Callithrix jacchus: one gene and its partners. The protein of the gene in region 7 binds, or shares a complex with, the protein of the main gene of each other region. Links are inferred from orthologs where the notes say so. Each region holds a gene or a part of one and is shown on either strand. Other genes may lie near its edges.

Region 1 (4,613 bases), on a different chromosome or scaffold from region 7:
AAGGAACTCCAAGGACTGGCAGCAGCCAGCAGAACCCAGGAAGAGGCACAGGACACACAGAGCCTCCGGAGCGAGCCAGCTCCACTGACAGCCTCAGTTCAGAATCTGGTCTCCTGAACTGTGAGAAAATCACGTTCTGTTGTTTTAAACCTCTCAGTTTGCAGGCGTTTGTTACAGCCCCAGGAAACAACAGCATTTGCCTATTTACTTTGTTTACTGTCTCCCTGAGAGCCACGAATTTTGTGTTTTGTTCATTTCTGTGAGCAGAAGCAGGCACAAAGTATATTGTTAAGTACTTAATATGCGCCAGACCTGTTTTTGTTTGTTTTGAGACAGAGTTTCGCTAGTTGCTCAGGCTGGAGTACAATGGCGTGATCCTTTGCCTCCTGGGTTCAGGCTGGAGTACAATGGCGTGATCCTTTGCCTCCTGGGTTCAAGCGATTCTGGGATTACACCACTGCCGGCTAATTTTATTTTTTTGTTTTTTGTTTTTTTTGAGACGGAGTTTCGCTCTTGTTACCCAGGCTGGAGTGCAATGGCCGATCTCGGCTCACGGCAACCTCCGTCTCCTGGGTTCAGGCAATTCTCCTGCCTCAGCCTCCCAAGTAGTTGAGATTACAGGCACGCGCCACCATGCCCAGCTAATTTTTTTTGTATTTTCAGTAGAGACGGGGTTTCACCTTGTTGACCAGGATGGTCTCGATCTCTTGACCTCGTGATCCACCCGCCTCGGTCTCCCAAAGTGCTGGGATTACAGGCGTGAGCCATCGCGCCCGATCGCCAGGCGCTGTTTTAAGTGCTTTTTACATAGTTTCACTCATTTCATCCTCACAGCAAGCAACCTTTTGGAGCAGACACTACTATTATAACCCATTTTACAGCAAACTGAGGCTCCGAGGGGCGTGGTCAGGATTCCAACCCACTAAATGATGTTCCTGGATAATTACAGAATTAGAAAACTAGGAGTCCGAAGGGCGACCTGAGGGACGTCCCAATCACCACGAGACCTCGCTGTCTCTAAGACTGCAAACGAAAGGCATTAACTGGCTTTGCCCACAGCGTGGAGCCCGAGACCGACGGCTTCACCTGCGCATGCGCTTACCCACAAAACACCCCGCGCCTGGGCGCGTTGCTCCGCCCCCTTTTGCATTACAAGTCGCGACACTTTACGGCTCTATTCCTCGTTCCTCCGGCGGGAACGCGGCCCGCCCGCCCCTTTCGCCCAGAGGGCCCCGCCGTGTTCCGCGTGGATTGGTTGGCCGCCCTTCGAGCCCAGTGCTGACTGGCTCGCGTGTCTGCCACTTTCTTTCAGCCTAGTGGCGCGCGGCGCTGCGACGACCGCCGGGAGCGTGTGCAGCGGCGGTGGCGGAAGTGGCCGGCGAGCCCGGTCCCCGCCGGCACCATGGTGAGGGCAGGGCAACGGCGGGGTCTCATCGGGAGGCGGGAGCCGCAGGCGTTGGGAGCCCTCCGGGCGGGCGCTGACGGTTGGGTTGGCGCGGGGTGAACGTAGAGTCAGAGCCTCGCGTTCCGTCTCCCGGCACGAGGCTGGGAAACTGAGGCTGGAGACTGCAGATGGCTCTAGGACGTCTGTGTCTGAGATTTAGGGTTGCACGGGCTTGTATCCGTAGTACAGCGGGCTCGCTTTACTTAGTTTTTCCCATTTTTTCCCCTCAGGTGGGGAAACTGAGGTCAAAAAAGGTGGGGGCCCGCCAAATGCAAGTTTTTGGGCAGGGAAGGGGCCCCGAACGCTTCGGGCCCGGTCAGACCTCCCAGATTGAAAATTAGAGTGCTGGGAAGTAGGGGGCCAGTCTGAGTTGTGAAACTTAGCTTTAGGAATTTCAGAGCTTGCAAGATGCATAAAATGCTCGCAGCACAGCGTCCTAGGCCTGTTGTTTTCTGTCTGAAAATCGGGCCTGGTGCTGGGGTGTGGTCTTTCTCCTTGGGTCACATAGCATGTCATTCCAGGGGAAGGGGGCATTTTGAGCAGGAGTGGATAAAGTGCATCCTCCCAATACACAGAAGGAAAAACTGAGGCCCAGGTCTCTGCAGGGCCAGATGTTTGTGATTATGGAAGTTCTGGATCTGGGCCAGAAAGTGCCCGTGTCCTCAATGTGCAGATCGGAAAACGAAGTCGGAGCTGGGAATTTCCTGGCCCATCAGCATCTGGCGCTTCTTTTTTCAGGGAGAGAAATCTAGGCCTTTGTTGGGGATGTGACTTCCAGACTCTGTGAGACAGTGGGAGATTTAGTAACCAGGAGGGACCCACAGGGGTGGCTGCATCAGAGCTGAGGATTAGTAAGAGATGCTCCCTAAATCCTGGGGTCAGTGTGTAACCACCCAGTGGGTTCACTTAGCCTGCTTCCTAGACAGAGCCGATTTATCAAGACAGGGGAATTGCAATGGAGAAAGCAATTCACACAGAGCCAGCTCTGCAGGAGACTGGAGTTTCACTCTTGTTGCCCAGGCTGGAGTGCAGTGGCACAATCTTGGCTCACTGCAACCTCTGCCTCCCGAGTTCAAGCTTTTCTCCTGCCTCAGCCTCCTGAGTAGCTGGGATTACAGGCGTCAACCACACCATGTCCGACCAATTTTTTTGTATTTTTAGTAGAGACAGGGTTTCACCATGTTGGCCAGGCTGGTCTGGAACTCCTGAACTCAGGTGATCCACCCACCTCAGCCTCCTGAAAGTTCTGGGATTACAGGGTGAGCCACTGTACCCAGCCTAGGGGATCCGAGTTTTTAAGATGATTTGGTCGGTAGGGGCTCAGGAAGTGGGGGGTGCTGATTGGCTGGAGCTTCCTGAGGTTGGAGATGGAGTCCTGAGGAGGTCGAAGTGAGATTTTCTTGCTGTCTTCTGTTCCTGGGTGGGATTCTGTCCGTGGGTGGGATTGCGGGACTGGTTGAGCCACATTACTCGTCTGGGTGGTGTCAGCGGATCCACCTAGTACAGGGTCTGCAAAAATATCTCAAGCACTGATCTTAGATTTTTATAATAGTGATGTTATCCCCAGGAGCAATTTGGGGAGGTTCAGACTCTTGAGCCAGAGGCTTCGTGACCCCTAAACGATAATTTCTAATCTTGCAGCTTGTCAGTCCTCCAAAGGCTGACTGGTCCCCAGGTAAGAAGAGGGTGTTTTCTGGAAAAAGCTATTACCAATCTTGTCTCAGAGTCAAACTATAGACTGAATTTCTTCCCAAGGTTAGTTCGGCCTATGCCCAGGAAAGAGCAAGGACAGCTTAAAGGTTACAAGCAAGATGGAGTTGCTTAGGTCTGATCTCTTTTTGCTGTCATAATTTCCTCAGGTACAGTTGTTGCGAAGGCGGTTTCAAGTGCAACAATTCAGAGAAGGGAGCCGGCCCCTCCTGCTGTGTCCCCGAGGGCAGAGTTGGAAGGGTCCATCCTGTGACAAGTTTTATGGAAGCAGGATCTTCATTTTTCTTCCCTCTATTATTCCCACTGTGTAGAACGGTGCGTGGGCAAAGTTAGAACTCATTCATTCAGCCCGTCCCCACCTTCTGAACATCCAGAGTCCCCAAGTCCTGGCTATCCAGGCGTTTCCTGGAGGAGTGGCCAAGAATGGACGAGGCGGGCCAGGTGGAGTGGCTCATGCCTGTAATCCTAGCACTTTGGGATGCCGAGGTGGGTGGATCACCTGAGGTCGGCCAACATGGAGACACCCCGTCTCTACTAAAAATACAAAATTAGCCTGGAGTGGTGGGATTACATGCTTGTAATCCCAGCTACTTGGGAGACTGAGGTAGGAGAATCACTTAAACCCAGGAGGTGGAGGTTGCAGTGAGCCTAGATTGTGCCACTGCACTCCAGCCTGGGCAACAAGAGTGAAACTCCGTCTCAGGGGAAAACAAAAAGAATGGACAAGGCCTCATGGGATACACACTTCCAGTTCCCTGTGGTCAGGGTAGGACTAGGAGTGACCTGGGTTAGCAGCCGGGGAGGGCAGTCCTGGAAAGCTTCTGGAATTAGGAGCCACTGGATTTAGTCCTCATGGGTCTAAACCTGAGAACCAGACTCCAGGTGTTCCAAGAAAGCGCAGAGAAAGGAATTCTCTTTTCTGAATTTTCTTGTGATCTTCCCTGAGCCAGGTGATGGGGCCGCTCCCATCACACTTGGCACTTTTTTCTTTTTCTATTTCATTTTATTTATTTTCTGAGACAGTCTCGCTCTGTTGCCCAGGCTGAAGTGCAGTGGCACAATCTCGGCTCACTGCAACCTCCACCTCCCTGAGAGCGATTCTCCTGCCTCAGCCTCCCAAGTAGCTGAGATTACAGGCACGTGCCACCACACCTGGATAATTTTTGTATTTTCAGTAGAGATGGGGTTTCACCATGTTGGCCAGGCTAGTCTTGAACCCCTGACCTCAGCCTCCCAAAGTGTTGGAATTGCAGGTGTGAGCCACTGTGCTCTGCCAACTTTTTTTTTATTTTCATTTTTTGAGCTGAGATCTCACTCTGTCGTCCAGGCTGGAGTGCAGTGGCACAATCACTGCAGCCTCAACCTCACTGGCTCAAGTGATCCTCCCACCTCAGCCTCCCAGAGTCCTGTGATTATAGCCACAAGTCACTGTGCCCAGCCGCACTTGGCCCTTTGATGT
Region 2 (3,128 bases), on a different chromosome or scaffold from region 7:
CTGTAATCCCAGCTACTTGGAAGCTGAGGCAGAAGTGCTTGAATCAGGGAGGAGGCTGCAGTGAGCCAGACTGCACTACTGCACTCCACCCTGGGCGACAGAGCAAGGCTGTTTAAAAAAAAAAAAAAAAAGAGGGTCACACTAGATGGTCTCTAAGGGTCCCTTAATGCTGAGAAGTCTCATCTGTATCACAACTCATATTTGCTGAATGAGTGAATGAAGTTTAGTAATTGCCAGTCATAACTTTTCTCCAACATATAAATTATGTTCCGTCTGTATTTATCTTCTATAGATATTCAAAAAACATGTACTGATTTGGTTGGATTGTCAAAGTCCGGTAGCATGAAATGCATCTTATAACATTGTCACATTAATGGAAAGACAGCAAGCACTCCAGTTGCCAGTATGGTATAAGCAAAACGCCGAAGGGAGAACATGCAGACAGAGGCATGTTGGGAGAAACGTGGTGTAGTGCAATTGTTATTATACGCTTTATACCACGGAGAGTAGTGGGAAGCTGAGTTGGATTCTTGGCTGGGTTAACAGAGAGTAACAAGGGCCTGGATGAATTCAACATCCTTTTCCACCACCCAGCACCCAGCCCCAAACGTAGTACAAAACCAGAACACGAATTTGCATCATAAATTTTATTCCCGATGCGGGACAGATTCCTTCCATCCCTAAATGAATGCCCTGGAAATACTTAGGAAACTCTCCCACCATCTCCAGGGAAATAGTAAGAAAGGCTGGTGCTGGGGACTGGGAAGGCTTTGAAGTTTCCCAGCCTACTCATCCTCCCCTTCTCAACAGAGGAGAGCTGTTCCCTATTATTCCTCTCATCCACTCATCCCTTTAAAAAACCCACAAAATCATCATTAGTAAAAAACAAACAAACAAAAACCCTTAAGTATTGGGAGTTAGGGGTTCTTGGCTGGGACTTGGGGTTCTGGGTCACCAATGCAAGAGGGAGGGGAAGAGGAGGAGGAGCTATCACTGTTTCTGCTGCAGGGCTTCCTTCCTTGCCGCATCCTGCAGCAACTGTGTGTCGACCTCGTCTGCTGGCAACTGCACGTAGCGGACCACTGAACCCCGAATGAAACAATTCTTCACTGATAACTAGACAAAGATGGACAAATGTGAAAACACCCTTAAAAATGTCCTCTAACCACCCAGGAGCCTCCTGCTTTAGAGGTGTTTCCTCTTCTCCATAGACCCCAACTCACCATGTGAGGATATTTCTCAGGGTCTGTAACACTGATGTCAGTTAGTTTGATGTTGAGATACTAAGAAAGGAATACGAACACCATTATTAACCCTAGAGATATGATGTAAGTACCCAACCCTTAAGCTCTCCCCTCTCCTTCCCCAGGAACCAATTCTGGGCCCTTGCTATATCTCACCTGATCCACAGAATGGAGGGTTCCACAGATGCTGTCAAGGGCAGAGAGAGAAAAAACAAATTAGTTTATAACAAAGTCAACATAAAGGTGACTTCAGAGCTGGGATGAGAATATGATTGGGAAAAGGCAAGGACTTGAGGAAGTCAGAAAAGGTAGAACCAAAAGGGGACATTCCTAAGCCTGGAGTAGGAAAGATGGCTACAGAGTGGTTTAATTTCAACCCCACATCTCCTCTCCTTAAACCATTCTTTTTTTTTTAGATGGACTCTCACTCTATGCAGTGCCACTATCTCTGCTCACTGCAACCTCTGTCTTCCAGGTTCAAATGATTCTCTTGCCTCAGCCTCCTGAGTAGCTAGGACTTCAGGTGTGCGCCATCATGCCTGGCTAGTCTTTTATTTTTAGTAGAAGTGAGGTTTCACCATGTTGGCCAGGCTGGTCTATAACTCCTGACCTCAGGCAATCTGCCTATCTTAGCCTCCCAAAGTGCTGGGATTACAGGTGTGAGCCACTGTGCCCGGCCAAACCAACCTATTCTTAATAGCTACCATTAAACAACTGGTAAAGACTAGACCTGTATTCTGTTATCTTTATAGCCATCTTTTGAAGTAGTTATTACCTTCCATGGGCTCAGAGAAGTTTTAAACCTGAGTTTAGAACAAACAGGAACTTCAGTCCAAGTCTGTCTGACTCCCAACATCATCAACAGTTTTTTTTGTTTTTTTTTTGAGACAGGATCTCACTCTATGGCCCAGGCTGGAGTGCAATGGCATGATCATGCTCACTGCAGCCACTTGAGCAGCTGTTGTGATGACAGGCATGTGCCCCCATGCCCAGCTGATTTTTTTTTTTTTTTTTTTTTTTTTTGTAGAGAAAGGGTCTCATGGTGAATGTTGCCCAGGCTAGCTATTTTCAAACATTTATTGCTTTGGAACCAGAGTCCCATATGTAGATAAAGGTAGGAAGGTAGCATTACTCTTGATGATGCAGGCACAAGTGATATCCTCTCCATTCTCCAATCCTCAAGCCCCTTGAGATGCTATTTGAGTAATGGTATCAAAACACCAGTGCTCTTTGGGAGAATGGTGCAAAAATTTAAGAAACAGCCTTTGGCTGGGTGCAGTGGCTCACATCTGTAATCCCAGCACTTCGGGAGGCTGAGGCAGGAGGATCACTTGAGGCCAGCCCGGACAAAATAGCAGTGCCTGGGCAACATAGCAATACCTCATCTCTATTTTGAAGTTATAAAATAATCATAATAAATAGCTGTTTTAAAAAGTCCTTATCTTGCCAAAAATAAAGTTAGCAGTTCTCTGCCGGACCCTAAGTTTTGTAAAAATTCTCAAAGTATTGAGCTGGGCGCGATGGTTCATGCCTGTAATCCCAGCACTTTGGGAGGCCGAGGCGGGTGGGTCACGAGGTCAAGAGATCAAGACCATCCTGGTCAACATGGTGAAACTCCGTCTCTACTAAAAATACAAAAAATTAGCTGGGCATGGTGGCGCGTGCCTATAATCCCAGCTACTCAGGAGGCTGAGGCAGCAGAATTGCCTGAACCCAGGAGGTGGAGGTTGTGGTGAGCCGAGATAATGTCATTGCACTCCAGCCTGGGTAACAAGAACGAAACTCCGTCTCAAAAAAAAAAAAAAAATTCTCAAGTATTTAAAACCCAGTGTCTGGGCCGTGCAAGGTGGCTCATGCCTGTAATCCCAGCACTTAGGGGTGATG
Region 3 (4,057 bases), on a different chromosome or scaffold from region 7:
AGTGGATCAATAAAAAGAAAGACAAAAGGTAAAGTACAGTGAATACTTTCATTGAGAATGTATCTGCTCTTATTGTACTGCATTTTAACCTTCTTGCCATAAATTCCTATTTTTCAGTACTGTGTCCCGCTGTTTCAAAAGATTGCACATTTGCCTTAGAGCATGGACATAGTTCATACATGGTGTTGTTTTTTTTTTTTTTGAGATGGAGTCTTGGACTGTTGCCTGGGCTGGAGTGCAATGGCACAACTCTGCTCACTGCAATCTCCACCTCCTGGGTTCAAGTGATTCTCCTGCCTCAACCTCCCGAGTAGCTGGGATTACAGGTGCCCACCACCACGCCTGGCTAATTTTTGTGTTTTTAGTGGAGATGTGGTTTCACTATTTTGGCCAGGCTGGTCTCAAACTCCTGACCTCATGATCCACCTGCCTCGGCCTCCCAGAGTTCAGGGATTATAGGCGTGAGCCACCACGCCCAGCCCATACATGGTTGTTTAAGTCACTGGGGTTAATACCTACCGTCTAATAGAATTTCTTGAATATAACTAAATAGGAATAAGTGGGGTGCTTTGAAAACATTACGGAGTGCCTTGGAGTTCTCGGTAGATTTGGCTCCTGAAAGAGAAAATGAAGCCTGGACTATATACCAGGGCTGGAAGAAGGGATCGCACAGGGAGAGTCAGAGGAAAGCACTGGACTAGGAGCCAAGACTTCTGAATTTTAGTCCTATATCTTGGCAGGTCGTCTTGCCTCAGTTTCTCCTTCTATAAAATGAGGCGATTTCATTAGGTGATTGCTAGGCCTCTTCCTACAGTGTAGTTAATAGGATTTGAGGATTTTAAGTAGCACCGAACTGCTTTGCATTTAGCAGTTCATTCATGTAACAGTGCTCATTATTGAAGTACCTGCTTTGACTGTGACACTGTGCCAAATATGCCTACTGCAGCATATGAGTGAATAGAGTGGTGAGCGGGCTAAGTGTGGTCTCTTCATTCCTAGTCACCATCTGCTTTCCCAGGCATGCCTCTGTAGAGCTCTTCTCTCTCGTTAGTTATTTGCTGGTTTTGAGTATTGATTGTGTGTGTCAGAGAGAGGCTATGATCCATTTGATTGCCATTGTAGCAGCCTAAGGTAAGAAATAGAAAGTAGATGCATCTAATAAGTCTGTGCCAAGCAGCCATTCTATTGTGTGTCCACTGGGATAAGGCTGACCTTGGTTCCAGTAGGCTCTTGGTTTCACCCCAAAGCCATTTCTCTAACTATCGAGCTAATTTAGGGTAACTTGAAGGAGAGGTTCTGTGGTGATGCAGAATCAGCTCCAGATCATGGTTGAGTTGGGGCCATTTCCACAGGAAGGTGATGAAGATGTGTACGGGGAGGTCCGAGAGGAGGCATCTGATGATGACATGGAAGGGGACGAGGCTGTTGTACGCTGCACCCTCTCAGCTAATGTAAGTTCAATTTGCTCTTTCTTATTGCTGCAAGGCCAGGTTACTTCTGAGTGTTAGTACTTCTGCTTCATGCTTGGGTCCTATTGCATTTATTGAGCCACCTTTTGCTAGACTGACGTGTAATAAACAATGTCTAGAGTTTCTTAAGATTTCAGTTGGTTTTCTTCCTTCCCAAATATGTATGTTGATAAAATCTTGGTCTGATGTGCTTCTGAACTCAATATTCCAGAGTGTTTCCTTCTGGAAAGTCCTCAAAAGAAGGTGGGCTTGTAGGGTGGCAAGAAGAACTTGGATGCAGGGTGGTGGGAAAGTGATCGAGGCTGGCAGAGACTTAGTGAGCTAAATGCCTACTTACTTATATAGCTCGTAGCCTCAGGTGAACTGATGAGTTCCAAGAAGAAGGATTTGCACCCTCGGGATATTGATGCATTTTGGCTACAGCGGCAGCTCAGTCGTTTCTATGATGATGCCATCGTGTCACAGAAGAAGGCAGATGAAGTACTGGAGATTTTGAAGGTATGGCCAAGATAACAATAGTTGTATGTTTACTATGTCTTAGCACATGGGGACAGCGTATGAAGTGGCAGATGGCTTTGTCCTTAATGGTGGTGTTACCTTCTCTCTGCAGACGGCCAGTGATGATCGGGAGTGTGAGAACCAGCTGGTACTGCTGCTTGGTTTCAACACCTTTGATTTCATTAAAGTGCTGCGGCAGCACAGGATGATGAGTGAGTATATGATCGGCTCTTCCTGCAGAGTAGGTACATATGTGTGCATATGTGAGACAGAGATTCTTGTTTTCACAGCTTTTGTGCTTGTTTCTTTTATTTTTCTTCTTCTACCTTAAGAATGAAGGTTGATTTTTGCATTTCTTCCTCCTCACTGTTCCTTTCTTCCTTTTGTTGCGGGTAGTTTTATACTGTACCTTACTGGCCAGTGCACAAAGTGAAGCTGAAAAGGAAAGGATCATGGGAAAGATGGAAGCTGACCCAGAGCTGTCTAAGTTCCTCTACCAACTTCACGAAACAGAGAAGGAGGATCTGATCCGAGTAAGGATTGGGTTGGTTTATCTGTCTGATTTCTCAGCTAACAGTGGCTAGAAGATTGCAGCATGAAGCTAAATTCGTATTAAAAGTGGAAGTTGAAAAAGTGATTTTTCTAAATTATTTGGGGTTTATCAGTACATACACGTTAAAATCAGCATATCCTCAGTTGGTTTGGTTGTGAGAGCAGTGATCTGCTGCTGTCTTTCACCAGCACCAAGAGGACCTTTATTGTTTATTTACACAGTAAACACGTGGTGTTTACTAAATAGAGTAACAGAATACATGTGCTTGCTCAACAGAACCCACGTTTCTACCCCTCAGGGGCAGCCTCAATTCTTAATTATAGAATGTCTATTTCTGGCAACATCTTACTGTGCATTGTCCCTTTAAATGTGTTTGTTTGCTTTGATCACTCTGGTGGTCCCCAGGTAAAGCGTTGTCTTTCTGTTTGCAGACTTACTAGTCAGCACCTGTGACTCAAGTATGGCTAAGCAGGGACAGAAAAGGACAAGAATCTATGATACTGATGAATTGTTTCTGTGATTTTTATCTTTCTCCACCACAGGAGGAAAGGTCTCGGAGAGAGCGAGTGCGACAGTCTCGAATGGACACAGATCTGGAAACCATGGATCTTGACCAGGGTGGAGAGGTAGGATCCAGGGCGATTTATTTCCCAGATCTCGATGGATGGAAAACTCACTTGCTCAGCTTGCTCACCTCCTTTGCATTTTTGTCTTTCACATTCCCAGGCACTGGCTCCACGACAGGTTCTGGACTTGGAGGACCTGGTTTTTACCCAAGGGAGCCACTTTATGGCCAATAAACGCTGTCAGCTTCCTGATGGATCCTTCCGTCGCCAGCGTAAGGGCTATGAAGAAGTGCATGTGCCTGCCCTGAAGCCCAAGCCCTTTGGCTCAGAAGAAGTAAGTGCATTGCTTTCTTCAGTTCACTTCCTGGTTTGGATTTCAACCATTGACCAGAATGTAGCCTTGTCTCTTATATAGTTTATTTCAAGACTGAAAGCTGCAACAGAATTTTTCCATTCTGATTTTGAGCCTGGGGTGACAAAATTGACATCTGGTCTGACCTTTTTTTTTTTTTTTTTTTGAGATGGAGTTTCGCTCTCATTACCCAGGCTGGAGTGCAATGGTGTGATCTTGGCTCACTACAACCTCCGCCTCATGGGTTCAGGCAATTCTCCTGCCTCAGCCTACTGAGTAGCTGGGATTACAGGCACACGCCACCATGCCCAGCTCATTTTTTGTATTTTTAGTAGAGACCGGGTTTCACCATGTTGACCAGGATGGTCTCAATCTCTTGACCTTGTGATCCATCCGCCTCGGCCTCCCAAAGTGCTGGGATTACAGGCTTGAGCCACCATGCCCGGCCTTGGTCTGACCTTTAATGGAGAGTTATGCAAAGAGATTGCCTGGGAACAAAATCCTGGCAATCCCACAAAAACATCTGCTCAAGGATGCTGCCAACATGATATCAATGGCACTTCTTTCCTTCTAGCAACTGCTTCCAGTGGAAAAGCTGCCAAAGTATGCCCAGGCTGGG
Region 4 (4,618 bases), on a different chromosome or scaffold from region 7:
AATCTCACTCTCCCTATTTTATGGATGTCAAGACTATCACCAAACCTGCTTACCTCACAAGGTAGTTGCAATAATCAAATGAGATTCTCCCTCCAAGAGAAAAGGGAAACAAATACAGTATGGGAGAAGATTCTGCTAACCACAAGGCAAGTGAAGGCAAATGGATAATGGCTCTGAATCTGAAGAATTCTACTGAAGTAGCACTTCCCTCAAATAGGCCCCCAACTCTGGGGATGGAAAAAACAAAAAGGACAAAGTAAAATATTCCAAACCTCCAATGGCTTTCCTGCCTCAAGACTGTGCCTTGTTCATGCCCACATTCCCAGAGCCTGTAACAACAGTGCCTGGCATGCATTAGGCACTCAGAAAATCATTGCTGAAAAATAACAACAACAAAATAATAAGAAAAATAAAAATAATAAAAAACAAACAAACAAAAGAAAATCATTGCTGAATGAGAACAATTTTTTTTCAAAGACCCCCAACCCACACCTTTCCGTTCCTCTGAGACACAGGTCCATTCCTCCCACATAGCCTCATGTGCAAAGCAGGATACCTGGCAGTTCATGTTGTCCTCTGCCTCAATGAGCTTCCCACGATATACCTCGCCGGTGTTCGTTTCGCATGTCACAATGTGTCCCTCGGCCTCATGCAGTACTTTAATCGGCACACCAATAGACATCTTGGCAGGAAGAGTTCTAATGAGAGAGGCAACAGTCAGTTCATCATTCAGAGACTGAGAAGGCATGCAGCACATACTGTGCTTCCTTCAAGGCCTAGCCCTCCATAAAACTTAGCAAAAATGCCAAAACTGAATTTTTTTTTTTTTTTGAGCCAGAGTCTCTCTCTGTTGCCAAGGCTGGAGTGCAGTGGCACAATCTAGGCTTACCACAACCTCTGCCTCAAGGGTTCAAGAGATTCTCCTGCCCCACCAAGTCAGGCTACTTTTTTAGTATGGGGTTTCACCGTGTTAGCCAGGATGGTCTCAATCTCCTGATCTCGTGATCCACCCATCTTGGTCTCCCAAGTGTTGGGATTACAGGCGTGAGCATTGCGCCCGGCCCAAAGCTACATTTTCTACAAAAACAAAAACAAAATAAAATAAAACAAAACAAAAACAACTCAGCTCCTGGCTTGGAGGAAACTATCTGGCAAATATGTGCAAGATGTGGGGTGAGAAGGAATGGTGGGCTGGACAGAGATAAAAATAGAAATGAAAAGAGAGCCTCTCCCATCAACCACATGTCCCTACTACCCTATGTCCCTTAATCTTCATCTAAATGACCATTAGCGAATACTGTTCGTGTTGCGGAGTGGGGGTTAGAATGTTATTTGTTGCATTGTTATTGTCAACCGTAATTGTACATGATTACATTTTGAAAATTATATAGGCCTGAGCTGTCCAATACAGCTCATGTCCACATGTAGCTATTTAAATTAAACTTACTTAAAACAAAATAAAATTAAAATAAAAAACCCAGTCTCAATCCCAGTGGCCATATTCCAAGTGCTCAATGGCCATATGTAGCTAGTGGCTCCCCTATGGAAGGTGCAGATACAGACCAAAGGACCCATGAACACCTAGGAGAGGGGGCTGCACTTTTAATTCAGCCCTTTAACCCCTCACTTACTTTACCATCAAAGATGAGGAAATATCAAAGTGACAATATGCTCTATTCAGGAAATGCTTGTCATGGAGGAAAATCAGGGAAATCACCTGATTTGACCTAATTAAAAGAATCAAGCAGCCAGGCGTGGTAGCTCAAGCCTGTAATCCCAGCACTTTGGAGGCCAAGGCGAGCGGATCACCTGAGGTCGGGAGTTCAAGACCAGCCTGACCAACATGGTGAAAGCCCGTCTTTAAAAAAAAAAAAGAATCAAGCAGTGAACTTTTTATTGAGATAAGCAACGACTCAAAGTTGGAACGTAAGTGCACTTAACAGAGGAGAACGTGAGGTTGAAGAAACAGGTTCCTTTGGTGAGGATCCCTTGCTTTCAGCTTTAGGAGTCTACATTTTATACTGAAAATAGTGGGGAACCACTGCACGATTTTAAGTAAAGAATGACGTAATGAAAAAAGCAGCAGCACTGCCGGGCGCAGTGGCTCACACCTGTAATCCTAGCACTTTGGGAGGCTGAGGCGGGCGGATCACCTGAGGTCAGGAGTTCAAGACCAGCCTGACCAATATGGTGAAAACCCGTCTTTAAAAGAAAAAAAATTTTTTTTGAATAAAAAAAAAAAGTGGCAGCATTTATTTATAAAATGGATAGAATGTAAGGTTTAGAAGCAGAGAAACTTGTTAAAACTTCTGCAACAGTGTGGAAACCATGAGGGGACCACTACCTGAAAGGGGGCTGGAGGCAGAGATGCAAGTAACTTTTAAAAGAATGATCGGCCGGGCGCGGTGGCTCACACCTATAATCCCACCACTTTGGAAGGCCGAGGCCGGTAGATCCCTTGAGCCCAGGAGTTCAAGACTAGTAAGGGCGACATGGTGAAACCCATCACTACTCCAAAACAAAAAGAAAAAATAAACAGAAAAAAGCACTCACAGGATTTGGGGAAAGGAGACAGTCAACCAGAAATGACTTCAAGATTACTGCCTGGAAGCTCTGAAAAACACTGACCTGGAGAGATACAAAAAGTGAAAGCATGCACGCTGAAGCTAATGAACTTACTTCTAGGCGCTAGTGAGGCGATGCTCGCTGATGTCTGGGTGGCCCAAGCTTCCCGCTTTCTTCCCTCCCCGAGCCCCGCAGAGTTCCATGCAGCGAGTGGCCCCTCGACCCCCCCTTGCCCGTCCCCAGCCTCACCAGCTCCGGCCTCCTTCTCCTCTTCGGTGCGGCGGCAAATGAGTCTACGGCTAAGGCGTGAGTTCAGCGAATGGCGGGCCCAGCTCCCAGAATTCCAATCGTTCCCAAAATGCAGCGCGCAGGGCCCACCTCCTTCCTTTCCCCATTGGTAAGTGCGGTCTCGTCTCCGCTTCCTCTTCGCTGCGCCCGCCGGCTGGGAAACTAGGGCACCGCTACGATAGTTCCGGCACCAGAAGAGACGGCTGATAACTGGGCCCGAGGGCCGCCGGAAACAACGACCCTTGGGCCGGCAACGAGCCGCAGAGGGTGCTCGCACTTCCAAGCACCCCACACCAAGGACAGGCTGGACTGCAAGGCGGAAACCCGGGGCCTGGGCCGTCAGACCCGGGGCCTGGGCCGTCAGACCCGGGGCAGCAGGAGGTTGGGCCAAGGGCCAGGACTTCCCCCTCACAATTTAATTTTTTGATCCCGGCACCGCTAGGTAAGGGGCGCCCTGAGCGGGGCGAGGTATCTCGTACGGATAAAATTAGGTATAGAGTAGGGCGGCGGCCGGCTCAGGATCATCCCTAAAGGCAGTTGAAAGAGAGTTGTGGCCGGGCGCGGTGGCTCATGCCTATAATCTCAGCACTTTGGGAGGCCGAGGCGGGTGGATCACGAGGTCAAGAGATCGAGACCATCCTGGTCACCATGGTGAAACCCCGTCTCTATTAAAAATACAAAAAATTAGCTGGGCATGGTGGTGTGTGCCTGTAATCCCAGGTTCTCGGGAGGCTGAGGCAGGAGAATTGCATGAACCCAGGAGGCGGAGGTTGCGGTGAGCCGAGATCGCGCCATTGCACTCCAGCCTGGGTAACAAGAGCGAAACTCCGTCTCAAAAAATAAAATAAAATAAAAATAAAAAAATAAAAAGAGAGTTGTTTGGCGCTTCGGCAATGCATTGGGCGGGACCGGTGCTTACACCTAAGGCTGCAAAGGAGCGGGTCACGGCAGAGGCGGAGTTTGCTGAAGAGACGAACCTCTAGGAAGCATCTGCACTAAGTGCACGAGCTTCGGGGCGGGCCTCAAGGAAAGGGGTGGGGCTTCCGGGGCCCGTGTCCTGGTGGGCAGCGCGTCTACGCGAGGATTGGGCGACGGGGCGGGGCCACCCGACGCAGAAGCGGCAAATGGCCGGGGCGGGCTTAAATCGAGAGACTGGGGGCGTCTAGAATCAAAGTTTGGGGCGGGGCTTATGGAAGGGGCGGGGCCTTTAGATTCGCGAACTAGAAGGGCCGGGGCGGGCCTTGGGGAGGCCCAGCCGCCGCCTCCAGTTCTCCCCACCGCATCGGCGGCGGTGGCGGCGGAGGAACTGGAGACGCACCGGCCGCCCTCCCGCCCCAGCCGAAGCGGAAGCTGTAGCCCGCTCTGGGCTGGGGCCATGGGCGCCCCGCGCCGCCCGGGTCATGAGGACGGAGGCGGAGGCAGCGGGGCCACCGCTCGAGCCCGGTCAGTGCCTCTCTGTGGGCCCAGTCCTCACCCTGGGAACGAGGGGGACTCCGCCCTAGTGCGGGGCAGGGTCCCGCCTCGCCCCCACACCCTTCTCGCTCCAGTCAGTGGGGGTTTCCCTACACTCGCAGGATTGCGACCCTTGTCAGCATGGTGGGAGGGTCCGGGTAGCAGGGGCGCCACCTTCCCCAGAAGCGAAAAGTCCTGCTGGAGCCGCCTTGGGAGCTTCTGTACCTTGGGGAACCGTGGAAGACAGGCTGAGAAGGGCAGGGAACTGGCCGAGAGCACCGAGCAATGGAAGGGCCGGTGTCCTGGCCTCCCA
Region 5 (4,690 bases), on a different chromosome or scaffold from region 7:
AAGCCCAAGCCCTTTCTGTACAGCTGCTTTTCTGAATACGTTAAGATTCCCTGGTTAAATCTTGGGGAATCACAATACAGGTGGTGAAAAACCTAATTGGAGAGTACTTTCGCTGGGAAAAAAAAATACCTAACATGACAAAGTACTAGAAATTAGCCTCAAAGAAATGTAATGGCCAAACACAAAGAAATGCATCTAATGTGATCTAAGTTATGCCGCCGAGTAGAAGAGATGAAAACCCTTATTTCTTGGCAATGTTTACCTGTAAGTTTTTACCTACTCTAGAGTACTTAACAGTTTAGCGTGGAAAAAATTGAAAAGCAAAAATTGCAAGGAAACAACATTAGAACCCAAGTAATTGCAGCGTGATACTAAGATAGCAGTGTCTGACGAGGCAATCAGACACCGAGGACAGCTCTCTAAATTCCTCCCTCTGACACAGTGGAGAGCCGGGCTGTCTTTTGAAGACAATCCCTCCTTCCCGAGCAGCTGGGGCCTCTTCTCTCCCTCTCTTCCAAAGGCGAAGTTAGTCCACTGAAAGCACCTCTTTCCACTCTCAGTCGTGGCCCTTATCAGGCCGTTTTGTAATGTTTCCATTTGCTGACTGATCTCCCACAGTGAATTTTAAGCTTCTTGGGGACAGGGAAAATATCTCACTCACTTGGTAACCCTGGTATCTAAGCATACTGTCCAAGTCTGTGGAAGTGACATTCAAAGCCAGTGTCAAGCAAAATTCCTGTCCAGCCCCCACCAGCCCAAACTATGGGTACAGTGACTAGTAATATCAAGTGTGTACTTCAACAAATACTAATCAAGTAATCTCTATAATGAGCACCAAAGACGGAGAAAACAACTGTTTCTGTCATTCAAGAACCAGCTGTATCCAAATCTAGAGATGCTTGTTAAAATGCAAATTCCTGAATCTACTGAGGCAAAGGCACTATACATTACATTATAAAGTTCTCCAGATAATTTCTATAAGCAAATGGTTCTCAACTAGGGGCAATCCCCCCTGTCCTCCCCCACCATGCTCAGGGACAGCTGGAAATATCTGGGGACACCATGAACTCTCATGACTGAGGAAGGTGGTGCTACTACTATACTAGTGAGTACAGACCAGGGATGCTGCTAAACATTTTACAATGCACAGGACGGCCCTCCACAACAAATGCGTCCAGGCCAAAAAGTCCATGGAAGTTGAGAATCTCTGCTATAAGCCCTAAAATAAAAAAAATTTAAAAACCAGCAACATTGTTCTTTGGCCTTAAAGTGAGGAGTTTTAAAGAAATCTCCCAAATATAGCAAATGAGAACCAACACCTACATCTAACCAAATGATGGAGTGTAGATTATAATTTATCAGGGATTTTTTTTTTATTCTAACATATAGAGAATCTGAAAACAACTGTCAAAGCCTTGAAGGGGTTGCCATTCTAAATAACGGATTTCTAGCCTTGGCCATGAAAATGATCACTTTACAATTTTTCAGTACTAAAGATCCCTCTGATGATTAAAATCTGTTAGTACACTTTTAAAAAAGAGAATAATCCAAGTGATGTAAACATATTTTTAAATTCTAATATCTACTATGCCACAGTTCAGTGAGAGGCTGCCTGATGCAGCACAGAGTACTCACTTGGGAGGCAGGAAACCTCAGTTCTAATCCCAGCTCTGCTACTTAATTGGCTGTGTGACTTGGATAACTCATCTCACCTCTCATGGCCCCAGGTTCCTCATCTGCAAAATAAGGGGGCTTTGCTAGATGACCACTTAGGTCTCTTCCTGCTCTAACATTCAGGCAGTCTACTGCAGTTAACTCCAGTGATACACACTACAGACATAAGCCTCTCAAGATTTCTGCACAATATTCAAGCAAGTAAAACTGCCAACCACCTCTAAAACTTTTTTGGAAAACACTGCAGCAATGTGCATGAAAGCCTAAAGACCTTATGGATGACAGCATCTATCTGATAATTTCACTTCTGAGAATCTAGTCCAAGGAAATAATCTACAGGATGGGGGGGAAATGTTTATCAAAATATGATCTGGGATGCTAAGATGATGCAAAAATTCAAAAACAACCAAATGTCCCACAGTCGGGAAATGACTGAATAATTTATGGGACCTACACTGGGATCCACAATGATGGGCCAGCCACTCAAAAGAAGATACAAAATTAGAATAATATTTAGGAAGAGTTTTTAAATGGAACTGGAAAACTACACTGTTAAGTAATTAAACATGAACAGTCCTAGTCCAAGTAGACGCTGGTACATACAGGAGAAAAAGATGGCAGGTGAAAGGGTTCAGCGAATATTATTTTCTTCACTAAAGTCTTCTATGTTTGCAATTTTTCTACAACAGTCACGTATTACTAAGAGCAGTAGGGTGGGGTAATTCCAATCATCCTAATCCTACACACCTTAAACAAAAATGCCCGCTATTCACGCGCCGGGGCACAAACGCGGACACATAGAAAACCTCTGGCGATAGGACTTAAGACCATACAAGGGGTTCCCCGACTAGACAACTCGGTAATTCAGGTTAGTCCAGTCCTTAATTCCTGTGGTTAGGCGCAGCCACTCCGATGTAGGGTAGGCTTCGCAATTCTCTGAAGCCTGGAAGAATCCAGGCAAAGCCTAGGCCTAGATTCGGGATCCGCTTTCCCGCCGAATCCTGGGATTAGCGCTGGGGTTCCCTTGGGGAATTTCGATAACCTCCGAACAACTTCGTGCAGTCTCGAACGCCAAATCGACGCCAGCCGGGACGGTGCCGCTCCTCTCGGCGCAGTGTAGACGCCTCGCTGACGGCGGTTCCAGGCGCCCACCAACAGATCACTCCCGGCCATTACGTGCACACAGAGCTTGGAAGCGGCATTTCGCGGGGACCCACCACCCAGCAGTCCCTCCCCGGAGCCCCAGCCCGCTCCCCGCAGGCCGTTTCCGAGGCTGCTCGGCTCGCGCAGCCACGCGGCTCACCTCGTCGGCGGGATCCAAAATCCTCACTACAGGTGCCCCAAGAGCCCGGGCTCCGCGGACTTCATCGAATCGAAACCGAAACCGGCGAGGCAGCGGTACTTTTCTGCCTCAGCCAATCAGTGTTCTTCTCTGCTACGGCAGCCCGCTGGGGCCGAAAAGGCCGGTCCGCGCCAAAGCGCTCAAATCCAAGAATCCTGGTTGGTTTGTCCAGTGGCGAAATTGGTGCAAAGGAATTCCTCTAACAGAAATCCGGATACAACACAAATACAATTCAATACAAAACAAAAACAAAAATCCAGAAAGCTAGAAGTGATCTTTTGGGCAGGATTTATTTGCAGTGTAAAAAATAACTTGAAGTCATAGAAAACTGGAATTTACAGTTTTAAGTAACTGCCGTGTGTACCCAGAAACGTCCTTGAATAGTTTAAAGCAAACAAATAAATAAAACAAACACCTCAAGTCTTTAAATCTGCCTCTGGATATTGATTAAATGTGTGAAGACTTAAGCCATTTTAGCAAGAGACTGTTTCCATGGCAATGTTAATTGATACGAAAATAATTAAAACCACTCAAGTAACTCCGAATTATAATGACGTTAATTGTGTTACATTATAAACTAGTTCCAATTGAAAATGGTGTGCAGACATTAGCTAAGTGCTACCTGTGGGAACTTGGTTTGGAATTTTGCATGAATTCTCAATACTCTTGCTATTAATAGGATTGGAGAGGAAAAAGAAGAGAACAGTCACACCAGGACTTGGTTCCTTTTTCCCTGTCACATACTTTCATCAGCTGAAAACTTATACTTTATTTTATTTATGATTTGTAACACTATACACAAAGTGATAAGATCTTCCAACACAGATCCTTAACTCCATTAAGTGTTATAAAATCTAAGATGCAGAATGTTTTTCTAAGATAAAGAGTTTCTCCCTTGTATCCCTCTTTTGGCTAAAGGCAGAAGAAATGAACCCTTGGTATCAGGGACAGAAAGCAACTGGATGTGATTTGGTAAAGAATAGAGACTTCCTTATATCCTTCTACAAAAGCTCAGTTTGGGTAAAGACAAAACCGTTACAGACTTATTAAGAGGGCTGTATTTGAAGTTCTTGCAATATAAAATATAATGTAAATAAAAATTTTAAGAAAAGTGCCATTAAAATTAAATAATTAGTTGCAAAGAACAAACATGATAGGATAAAAAGCCCTGTCCCTAAAAACATTCTTTGCAAAAGACATCAAATTGCACACTCCCTACTGGTTGTTTCAATTATTCAAAAAACAGTAAGTTTTTGATTCAAATTTCTTTCCCTTTCCTACAGACCCCTGATGGAGCGATTAACACTGGTGTGGTGGGTAGGGAGCCATGAGGAGTTTAAAGGCCTCGTTCATCTGAGGAGCAGCTGCAATCTTCTCCAAAGGGAGTAGCTGGGTATGGGGCCGGCTTGACATACGGGGTGGGCATCCTGAATTATTTAATGAGCTAACAAGCTTATAAAAAGTGTGCCTGTTCCAAAAAGCCCCTTAGCAGCTTATAACTGACTTTTACTAACTCACAAGGCAATTTTCCATATTTCCCAGGTTTTTGCTTTCAGCATCTTTTTTGATGCAAAGAAAACATTGCAAGACTTTTTGTGAAATACTAGTCTTCCAAACCCGGAATGTAAACATTAATTTATTAAGAGCCTTAAAGTCATAAAAATATTTAAGCAG
Region 6 (4,057 bases), on a different chromosome or scaffold from region 7:
CTGCAAGCTCTGGCTCCCAGGCTCAAATAATCCTTCCATCTCAGTTTCCCAAATAGCTGGGACTACAGGTGGATATCACCATGCCCAGCTAACTTATAAATTTTTTGTAGAGAGAAGGTCTGTCTCACTATGTTGCTCAAGCTGGTCTTGAACTCTTGGGCTCAAGCAATCCTCCCACTTTGGCCTCCCAAAGTGCTAGGATTACAGGCATGAGCCAGCGTGCCTGGCACCTGATTAAGATTTTATTGGCCACGTTGTAAACTACTAAACACCATCAATTACCAAGCTCGAATGACTTATAACTTCTGCTCAGCTGAGACTAAATCATGGGCTTCTGATCAATATATATTATCCAACCCAAAGTATATCTTATTTCCTACTAACCCTAAAATAAGTGCTCCATGGGCCCCATTCCTTACCACCTTGATTCCCCCTATTTCTCCTTAAGTAACAGAGACTCTTAAAAGTCACTACTCAACATCCCCTCTAAGTCAATCCTCAGCCAGAATAATGTTTTTGTTTTTATTTTACAGACGGAGGTCTCGCTCTGTTGCCCAGGCTGGAGTGCAGTGGTGTGAACATGGTTCACTGCAGCTTCTACCTCCCAGGCTCAAGCGATCCTCCAACCTCAGCCTCCCAAGTAGCTGGAACAACAGGTACCTGACATCATGCTTGGCTAATTTTAAAAAATTATTTGTAGATACAGAGTCTCACTATGTTGCCCAGGATGGTCTCTAACTCCTGGGCTCAAGCAATCCACCCACCTCGACCTCCCGCAGTGCTGAGATTATAGGTTTGAGACACCATGCCCAGCCAGAATAATGTTTTAAAAACAACTCTGATATCATACCTTTGTTAAAAGCCTTCAGTGAGGCCAGGCACAGTGGTTCACACCTGTAATCCCAGCACTTTGGGAGGCCGAGGTGGGCAGATCACCTGAGGTCAGGAGTTCGAGACTAACCTTGCCAACGTGGTTAAACCCTGTCTCTACTAAAAATACAAAAAAACTAGCCTGGTGTGGTGGCAGGTGCCTATAGTCCCAGCTACTCGGAGGCTAAGGCAGGAGAACTTCTTGAATCTAGGAGACGGAGGTTGCAGTGAGCCAAGATCACACCACTGTACTCCAGCCTGGGCAAGAGAGGGACATCCCATCACAAAAAATAATAATAATAATAAGCCTTAAATGACCCCAGCTGTTATCAGGATATAATCCAAGCTCCTTATGGTGGCTTATAAACCAGGCCATCAGGTCCCTCCCTCAAGATCTACACCTCAACTCTCCATTGATCCCTGGAGTCCACGGATCCAGTTACTTGCAGTCCGTCTATGCCAGGCACTTTTCACTTCTGCCCACCATGTCCTCTCTACCTAGAATGCCCTGCCCCCACCCCAACCTGCCTCTAACTCTACCTAAAACTCAGGGTTCTCCTCCTCCACTCTGACCTCTCATCTACCTCCTACATGTTCAGTTGAGGGGGTCCTTGTTCCATGCTCCCTCCCACAGCACAGCACATAACACCCTATAATTACCTTTTGTTAAAAAAAGGATAGTTGAAATTTGCTTATTTATTTTTAAAGACAGGGTTTTGCTCCGTTACCCAGCTAGAGTGCACTGGTATGATCATAATTCACTGTGGCCTTGAACTCCTGGGCTCAGGCAATACTGCTGCCTCAGCCTCTCAAGTAGCTCAGACCATAGGCTTATGCCAGCACACTCAACCTTTCTACATAACAATTTCCCCACTAGACTGGAAGTTCTTCAAAGGGAAAAATCATGTTTCTTATCGCTGCTCTAAAACCTAGCACCATGACTGAATGTTGAATAAACTAATACGGACACTAGAGGATACCACATGAGATTCAGGTACAAAGTTACAGTGTCCACTTTACTCATAAGATAATAACAAATTGGGTTTGGAGAGACAGAAACAGTCAAAATAGTTCATTAGAGGTCAGGCACAGTGGCTCACACCTGTAATTCCAGAACTTTGGGAGGCAAAAGCAGGCGGATCACGAGGTCAGGAGTTTGAGACCAGCCTGGCCAACAAAGTAAAACTCCCCTCTCTACTAAAAATACAAAAATTAGCTGGGCATGGTGGTGGGCACCTGTAATCCCAGCTACTTGGGAAACTGAGGCAGGAGAATCGCTTGAACCAGGGAGGCAGAGGTTGTAGTGAGCTGAGACCACACCATTGCACTCCAGCCTGGGTGATAGAGTTAAAAAAAAATTCACTGCCATGTGGAAATAAATTTGCTCATTAAACTGGTTTTGTTGTCCTGAAGTCAAGGGAAACATGAATGACTTGCTCCTTACCTTGTTTAGTGATCTGAAAAGTCTTCTTACTGCAAAGTACAACTGCCTGAAGCATCTCATGGGGAGATACATGTGCCTTGAAATTTCGAGGGTTCCAGAGCTTTCTCATCAGCTCTCCAAAACGCTGGACCAACAAGAACATAATATCCCCTGGAGGACGCTTGATGTTCTTATAGTTGTCTTCTTCCAGAAAGTAGTTCCGGAGAGGAGGAACATTAGATAGAGCCTGAAAATCAAACACTCCAATTAACCCAAAGCCCCTTTGTAGGACCCCTTGAGCCAAGCTCTTCCAGCTAAAGCTCTCCTAATAGAATCCTGTGATCTATCTGTGATGGCCTTAAAGAGCCTTAAATGGACCCTTGGAGAATCCTACCCAGGCTCACATTACAGAACTGTCCTTAACATTGAGTGTCTGAAATACCACTGATTTGATAATGGAAACAAGAAAAAAAAATTGAGTTTCATAAGAACTACAGTTCTGCAGATACTTCGCTGATGTGGATAATAATAAGGGTAAAACAAAACAAAAACCACATGTATTCAAATCTCTATCAATTTATTTAACAATTTCCTTTTGTTACTCTAATTATGCTGTGACAATACTCAAATTCATAAGGTAGAAGGGTAAAATCCAAATACTCTTTTCTTCATCATCCATTTTGGCTGAAGCAAAGATAACTATCTAGGAAACAGTTCTCCCATCTCTCAACTCCAAACTAATATAAAAATTATCTTAAAATTTGATGTTTTCCCATAATAAAACCATGTAACTGTACATAAAATAAATATAGGGAACTGTGAGGACGCAAAGGTGTAAGAATAATACAATGGACTTTGGGGACTTGGGGGAAATGGTGGGGGGGGTGAGGGATAAAAGACTACACATTGGATACAGTGTACATTGCTCGAGTGATGGGTGACCAAAATCTCAGAAATCACCACTAAAGAACTTGTACATGAAACCAGACACCACCTGTTCCCCAAAAACCTATTGAAAGTTTTTTTGTTTTTTTTTTTGGAGACAAATTCTTACTCTATCCCCCAGGCTGGAGTGCAGTGGCAAGATCTTGATTCCCTGCAACCTCCGCCTCCCAGACTGAAGCAATTGTCATGACTGAGCCACCCTGCCCCACCAAAATTTTTTCTTTAAAGTAAATATAGTCTGTTATGATGGAAAACAGTCAGCCAGGCAAGGTGGCTGAAGCCTGTAATCCCAGCACTTTGGGAGGCTGAGGCAGAAGAATCACTTGAGGTCAGGAGTTCAAGACCAGCCTGGCCAACATGGTAAAACCCAGTTTCTACTAAAAATACAAATTAGCCAGGCATGGTGGCACGCACCTATAATCCCAGCTACTTGGGAGGCCGAGGCAGGAGAATCGCTTGAACCTGGGAGGCAGAGGCTGCAGAGAGCCAAGATCCACTGCACTCTAGACTGGGTGCCAAGAGCAAAACTCAGTCTCAAAAAAAAAAAAAAAGAAAAGAAAATGGTCTGTAGGCAAAACCATCCAGGACGTAGGAACAGGCAAGGACTTCATGACTAAAACACCAAAAACAATGGCAATAAAAGCTAAGATAGACAAATGGGATCTAATTAAACTCCAGAGCTTCTGTACAGCAAAAGAAACCATCATTAGAATGAATCAGCAACAAACAGAATGGGGAAAAATTTTTGCAATCTATCCTTCTGACAAAGGGCTAATATCCAAAATCTACAAGGAACTAAAACAAATATACAAGAAAAAA
Region 7 (4,057 bases):
CAGGTGATTTGCCTGCTTTGTCCTCCCAAAGTGCTGGGATTACAGACATGAGCCACCATGCCCAGCCAACTACACTGAAACTTTTATAACGGCCTGTCCCAAGTAAACTGAGGCCACAGAGACATCTTAAGTGTGTCAAATATACTAAAAAATTAAAAGAAAATAAATAATGGGTAAGTACTTGTTTATAAATACACCTATATGACTGAGCATGTATTAAAATTGTTCAAATGAAAGATTTCATAAACATTTTTCAAACTTTTGCCTTGGACTCTAGAAATATGTTCCTCTAAAATTCTGGGTATTTTTAAGAACATTTTAAGAAACCTCTTTAATGAAGTATTTAATATAAGGCAGGGCCCTTTCTGGACTCTATCCAGGCTACTTATTTAACTAGTGGAAAAATGGGCAAATCTCAGGTAAATGTTTGATTTGTAGAGATAGCTTTGGTTGAAACCTGAAGAAATGTTGACATAAAATGTATAGATTTGCCTTACTTTATGCAAATATAAGAAAAGCCATATTTATAAAAGAAATGAATGCAAGATTCTATTAACTATGTATAGATAATACAGTAGACTATTCTGGGTAAAACCTCTTCTCCATAAATCAAGGGAGTATCATTTATAATTTTAACAGATATATTTTACTTACACATTGTCACCTCTTACAATGTATAATCCTAGTACTACTTGCTCTACTCCCTGTGAAGAGCTGAATACTCGTTCATGGCTTTCATCCAAAATCAAATTAATGGTCTGGTCAAAACCTTTTAGTGTTCCCTGTAAAGAAAATATCCAGGAGAAAAAGAGAAATATTCTGGTTTACCTGAAAGTGTAAATTCAACCTCACAATCATTTTAGTTATTAGTTACTCCAATATAAGTACCTATACAATGTCAAATAAAATGCCTTTTTTATAACTAACAGTATTCGAGGATACAAAATTGACCCCTTGGCTGTTTGGCTGGGGTGGAGGGATCTGCACCACACATCTCACTCATTTGCAGAGCTGATGACAGTTACAAAGGACACCTAGGTACTAGTGTATTTCCAAGTAAGTAGCATAAAAGCTCATGTAGTCCGACAGCCAAAGGTATATACTAAAACAAAGGAGATTTAAAATAAAATGATAGGTAACTCTATATAAATAAGGAAGAATCATACATACCAACTACAGTAATGTAACAGTATCACTGTATACTACATACTAGCACTAGGTATTGTGCTAGACACATTGTACATATTGTCGCAACTCATCTCTACCCTTTAATACTATAATTATTCCCATTTCAAAGAAGAAACTGAGGCACAGAGTGGTGTCTCTTATGGTCACATGGGCAGTAAGTAGCAGAGCCAGGAGATGAACCACGAAAGGCTAGCTCCTGAGCCAGACCACTAAACCATTACCTTCTACTATTATACACAAGTAAATATAATTTGCCATTTTTCAGAGAATCAAATCAGTCCCATAAATACATAAAAAATTTAACTAGTAGTTACGGGTAACACCTAATGAGTTCTTACTAGTTACCAGAGTTCTGTGTGTCTCACAGGTATTATTTAATGCATAACAAATACATTTATTATTTAATTCTCCCAGTAGATACAAATGTGACTAAACTAATTAGAACAAGAATTTGAAGGAAATAATCAGGGAAGGTTTTATGAAAGCTTAGTTTTGAATAAAAAAAGACATGGGTCTAGCACAACAGATTAACTCAGATGGTATCCAAGTTTCTGAAGAAGTATCAACTAACATTGATTTTAATTGGTTAAATCTCTCAAGCTACTAAACTTTTATCTTCTGAAAACCAAAATATATAAAATGAGAATGAAATAAAAAGAAAACTATAATTTGGAAGAGAAAATATGAAGTCTTTCTTGAACTATTTAACAAATGGTTATCATAAACACCCATTCATAACCTCCTGGCTTCATTTTACACATAACTATCCCATCAAATAAACTATGTGTCAAAGAAAAAAGAACTATTGAACTTTAGAACTTAAGATGCTCTTTTTATATTGCTTTCCTTTTTTAAAATTAAAAATGATTTCCCAGTTTATTATCTACTATGTTAACAAAAATTAGAAAATTTAAAGTTAAGGTTTTCACAAAATTAAAAAAATTGAAAATATCTATTAATAGCAATAGGCTTCTTGAAGTGTTGCGATTAAAATATGTCAAACTGTCCGTATTTGAAAAAATACAATGTGAGGCACCTAAGAAAACATGATTTTAACAGATATAATTTTAAGAAAGAAGCCAGGCAATTTGCCTTGGCTTTGATGTCAAACCAAATTTAAATCCCAGTTCAGTTCTGTCACCTGCTATCCTTGTGACTCTGGGAAAGTATCTCACCTTCTCTGAGCTTGTTTCCTAATCTAGAATAGAGGGGTACTTATTCTTCACAAGGTTGTGCTGTACATTAAATAATGTAGCACATATGCACCTGGCACATGATATAAATTTAGTAAATGACAAAGCTAGAACCTTGACTATTAACAGTCACTAAGGACCCACTGAGGGGAAAAAATCGCAAGGCTTAAAAAGAAAATGAACAAAAACAAAATTGCAGAATGGAAAAATAGGGGATTAAATTATTTAAGAAACTAGGTAAGGTTAGAAAACAGAGAAAGTTTAGTAGCCTTAAAATTCTTTCAAAAGAATTAAGTGTATTAATTGTAAGTGAAGAAATAAGCAAGCACCCAAATATCTTGAGATAAATTCCTCAAATGAAATTCCAAATACAAGTATTGCCATAGGAATGTTTTATCTTTGTTAGATGACATAAATTAGCAAGGGAGAAACAACTTTAAGAAACAAGCCAATTGAACATATATATGTGTATATAGAGAGTCAATCATCAAGTGTCCTATAGAAGACATGTCATACAACCTAAAAGCAAACAGTATTAAGATTGCATACAAGCCTTAAACGTTGATAGGTAGGTATCAATAGTATCTAAATCACAAAAAAGTTCCTAAATGTATGCAAAATTTCAAAAAATTCTGATTCATGTAGTACTGAATGGGGAAGAAAATAAAAATGGAAGAGGGAGATAAGTAGGTTTAATACATGTCTGCAGACTAGGAGCTCTCTGATGGCAGAATCTATTATTCTAGCTCCTAGAAGCCTTGTAGGTAAGACACAAGGTTTACTAAGGAAAATGTGGATTGACAGCAAAGTGATAGTTAAATAATAAAACTGCACTACCAGTGTAATGTGGCGTCTAGGCATTAGAGATCAGAGGTTTCACATAAAACCTGCAACCCATAAACGTACAGGAAAGCAGAGAATGAAAATTTGGAAGACTTACCACAATCATTCTCCCGTCAGATGTAATAACAGCAACAGTTCCTGATAACTGAATCAAGGAAAGTGTTTCTTAGGGAATACAATCTGAAAACAGACTCTGGCAAGGTAATGATTTGAATTATTAGAAGATATACAACAATTAGGTAAAAGTGATCAACATAGCCACTAAGTTCACTACATAAAAACGTTACAAGTTTTTGGGACGCCAAGGCAGGAAGATCCAAGATGACTGGTCGCTAACAGCTCAGGATTGTAGCTCCCAGTGAAAGCACGGAGAATGAGAGGACACCACACTTTCAGATGAATTTTCGTCACTCACGGACCAGAAGATTCCCAGTGAAGGAGCCCTACGGGTCGCCAGCGTGACTCTTGTGGCCGGCGCAGCAGTTTTGCCGGCGCCTCGTCATGGCAGCTCTTCGTGCAGAATAAACGGGAGGAGATTCCCAGGCAGAAGAGCACCATCAGTCTTAATGCCGCTGTTTTGGCCGGTACAGTGGGTTGCTCAGATTCCAGCGGTGGGAATCAATAAACTGGACGTCCACTCAGAAACCCAACTAGAAAGGCAGTAATTGTAAAGATGACAGATGGATAAATTTATAACAAAGGGAAGAAACCAGCTTAAAAAGGCTGAGAATACCCAAAATCAGAACACCTCTTCCTCTACAGGAGATTACAGTTTCTCATCAGCAACAGAACAAGCCCTGATGGAAAAGGACTGTGTGCCATTAACAGAAGTA

Evidence for each region.
Region 1: LSM8 (region 7) and LSM4 share a complex: the UniProt entries of both Homo sapiens proteins name them as parts of the precatalytic spliceosome. The link is inferred for Callithrix jacchus from reciprocal best matches to the Homo sapiens genes LSM8 and LSM4.
Region 2: LSM8 (region 7) and LSM2 share a complex: the UniProt entries of both Homo sapiens proteins name them as parts of the precatalytic spliceosome. The link is inferred for Callithrix jacchus from reciprocal best matches to the Homo sapiens genes LSM8 and LSM2.
Region 3: LSM8 (region 7) and SNRNP200 share a complex: the UniProt entries of both Homo sapiens proteins name them as parts of the U4/U6-U5 tri-snRNP complex. The link is inferred for Callithrix jacchus from reciprocal best matches to the Homo sapiens genes LSM8 and SNRNP200.
Region 4: LSM8 (region 7) and SNRPD3 share a complex: the UniProt entries of both Homo sapiens proteins name them as parts of the U4/U6-U5 tri-snRNP complex. The link is inferred for Callithrix jacchus from reciprocal best matches to the Homo sapiens genes LSM8 and SNRPD3.
Region 5: LSM8 (region 7) and LSM6 share a complex: the UniProt entries of both Homo sapiens proteins name them as parts of the precatalytic spliceosome. The link is inferred for Callithrix jacchus from reciprocal best matches to the Homo sapiens genes LSM8 and LSM6.
Region 6: LSM8 (region 7) and USP39 share a complex: the UniProt entries of both Homo sapiens proteins name them as parts of the U4/U6-U5 tri-snRNP complex. The link is inferred for Callithrix jacchus from reciprocal best matches to the Homo sapiens genes LSM8 and USP39.

The regions. Positions count from the first base shown.
Region 1 is NC_133523.1:17,038,361-17,042,973, reverse strand, and holds the start of LSM4 (U6 snRNA-associated Sm-like protein LSm4), read left to right. Parts: upstream 1-1,340; 5' UTR 1,341-1,402; coding exon 1,403-1,405; intron 1,406-4,613. UniProt on the Homo sapiens protein: Plays a role in pre-mRNA splicing as component of the U4/U6-U5 tri-snRNP complex that is involved in spliceosome assembly, and as component of the precatalytic spliceosome (spliceosome B complex).
Region 2 is NC_133505.1:39,303,843-39,306,970, forward strand, and holds the end of LSM2 (U6 snRNA-associated Sm-like protein LSm2), read right to left. Parts: intron 1,432-3,128; coding exon 1,401-1,431; intron 1,284-1,400; coding exon 1,224-1,283; intron 1,117-1,223; coding exon 991-1,116; 3' UTR 633-990; downstream 1-632. UniProt on the Homo sapiens protein: Plays a role in pre-mRNA splicing as component of the U4/U6-U5 tri-snRNP complex that is involved in spliceosome assembly, and as component of the precatalytic spliceosome (spliceosome B complex).
Region 3 is NC_133515.1:6,142,516-6,146,572, reverse strand, and holds part of SNRNP200 (U5 small nuclear ribonucleoprotein 200 kDa helicase), read left to right. Parts: intron 1-1,352; coding exon 1,353-1,451; intron 1,452-1,814; coding exon 1,815-1,967; intron 1,968-2,079; coding exon 2,080-2,179; intron 2,180-2,363; coding exon 2,364-2,500; intron 2,501-3,062; coding exon 3,063-3,146; intron 3,147-3,246; coding exon 3,247-3,420; intron 3,421-4,012; coding exon 4,013-4,057. UniProt on the Homo sapiens protein: Catalyzes the ATP-dependent unwinding of U4/U6 RNA duplices, an essential step in the assembly of a catalytically active spliceosome. Plays a role in pre-mRNA splicing as a core component of precatalytic, catalytic and postcatalytic spliceosomal complexes.
Region 4 is NC_133502.1:195,105,998-195,110,615, reverse strand, and holds the start of SNRPD3 (small nuclear ribonucleoprotein Sm D3), read right to left. Parts: upstream 2,911-4,618; 5' UTR 2,815-2,910; intron 2,629-2,814; exon of another isoform or gene 2,554-2,628; intron 699-2,553; 5' UTR 683-698; coding exon 557-682; intron 1-556. Other genes in the region: protein GUCD1, read left to right, coding at 4,043-4,296. UniProt on the Homo sapiens protein: Plays a role in pre-mRNA splicing as a core component of the spliceosomal U1, U2, U4 and U5 small nuclear ribonucleoproteins (snRNPs), the building blocks of the spliceosome.
Region 5 is NC_133504.1:50,820,247-50,824,936, forward strand, and holds the start of LSM6 (U6 snRNA-associated Sm-like protein LSm6), read right to left. Parts: upstream 3,055-4,690; 5' UTR 2,422-3,054; intron 1-2,421. UniProt on the Homo sapiens protein: Plays a role in pre-mRNA splicing as component of the U4/U6-U5 tri-snRNP complex that is involved in spliceosome assembly, and as component of the precatalytic spliceosome (spliceosome B complex).
Region 6 is NC_133515.1:27,393,606-27,397,662, forward strand, and holds part of USP39 (ubiquitin carboxyl-terminal hydrolase 39), read right to left. Parts: intron 2,541-4,057; coding exon 2,315-2,540; intron 1-2,314.
Region 7 is NC_133512.1:88,804,492-88,808,548, reverse strand, and holds part of LSM8 (LSM8 homolog, U6 small nuclear RNA associated), read right to left. Parts: intron 3,363-4,057; coding exon 3,322-3,362; intron 783-3,321; coding exon 655-782; intron 1-654. UniProt on the Homo sapiens protein: Plays a role in pre-mRNA splicing as component of the U4/U6-U5 tri-snRNP complex that is involved in spliceosome assembly, and as component of the precatalytic spliceosome (spliceosome B complex).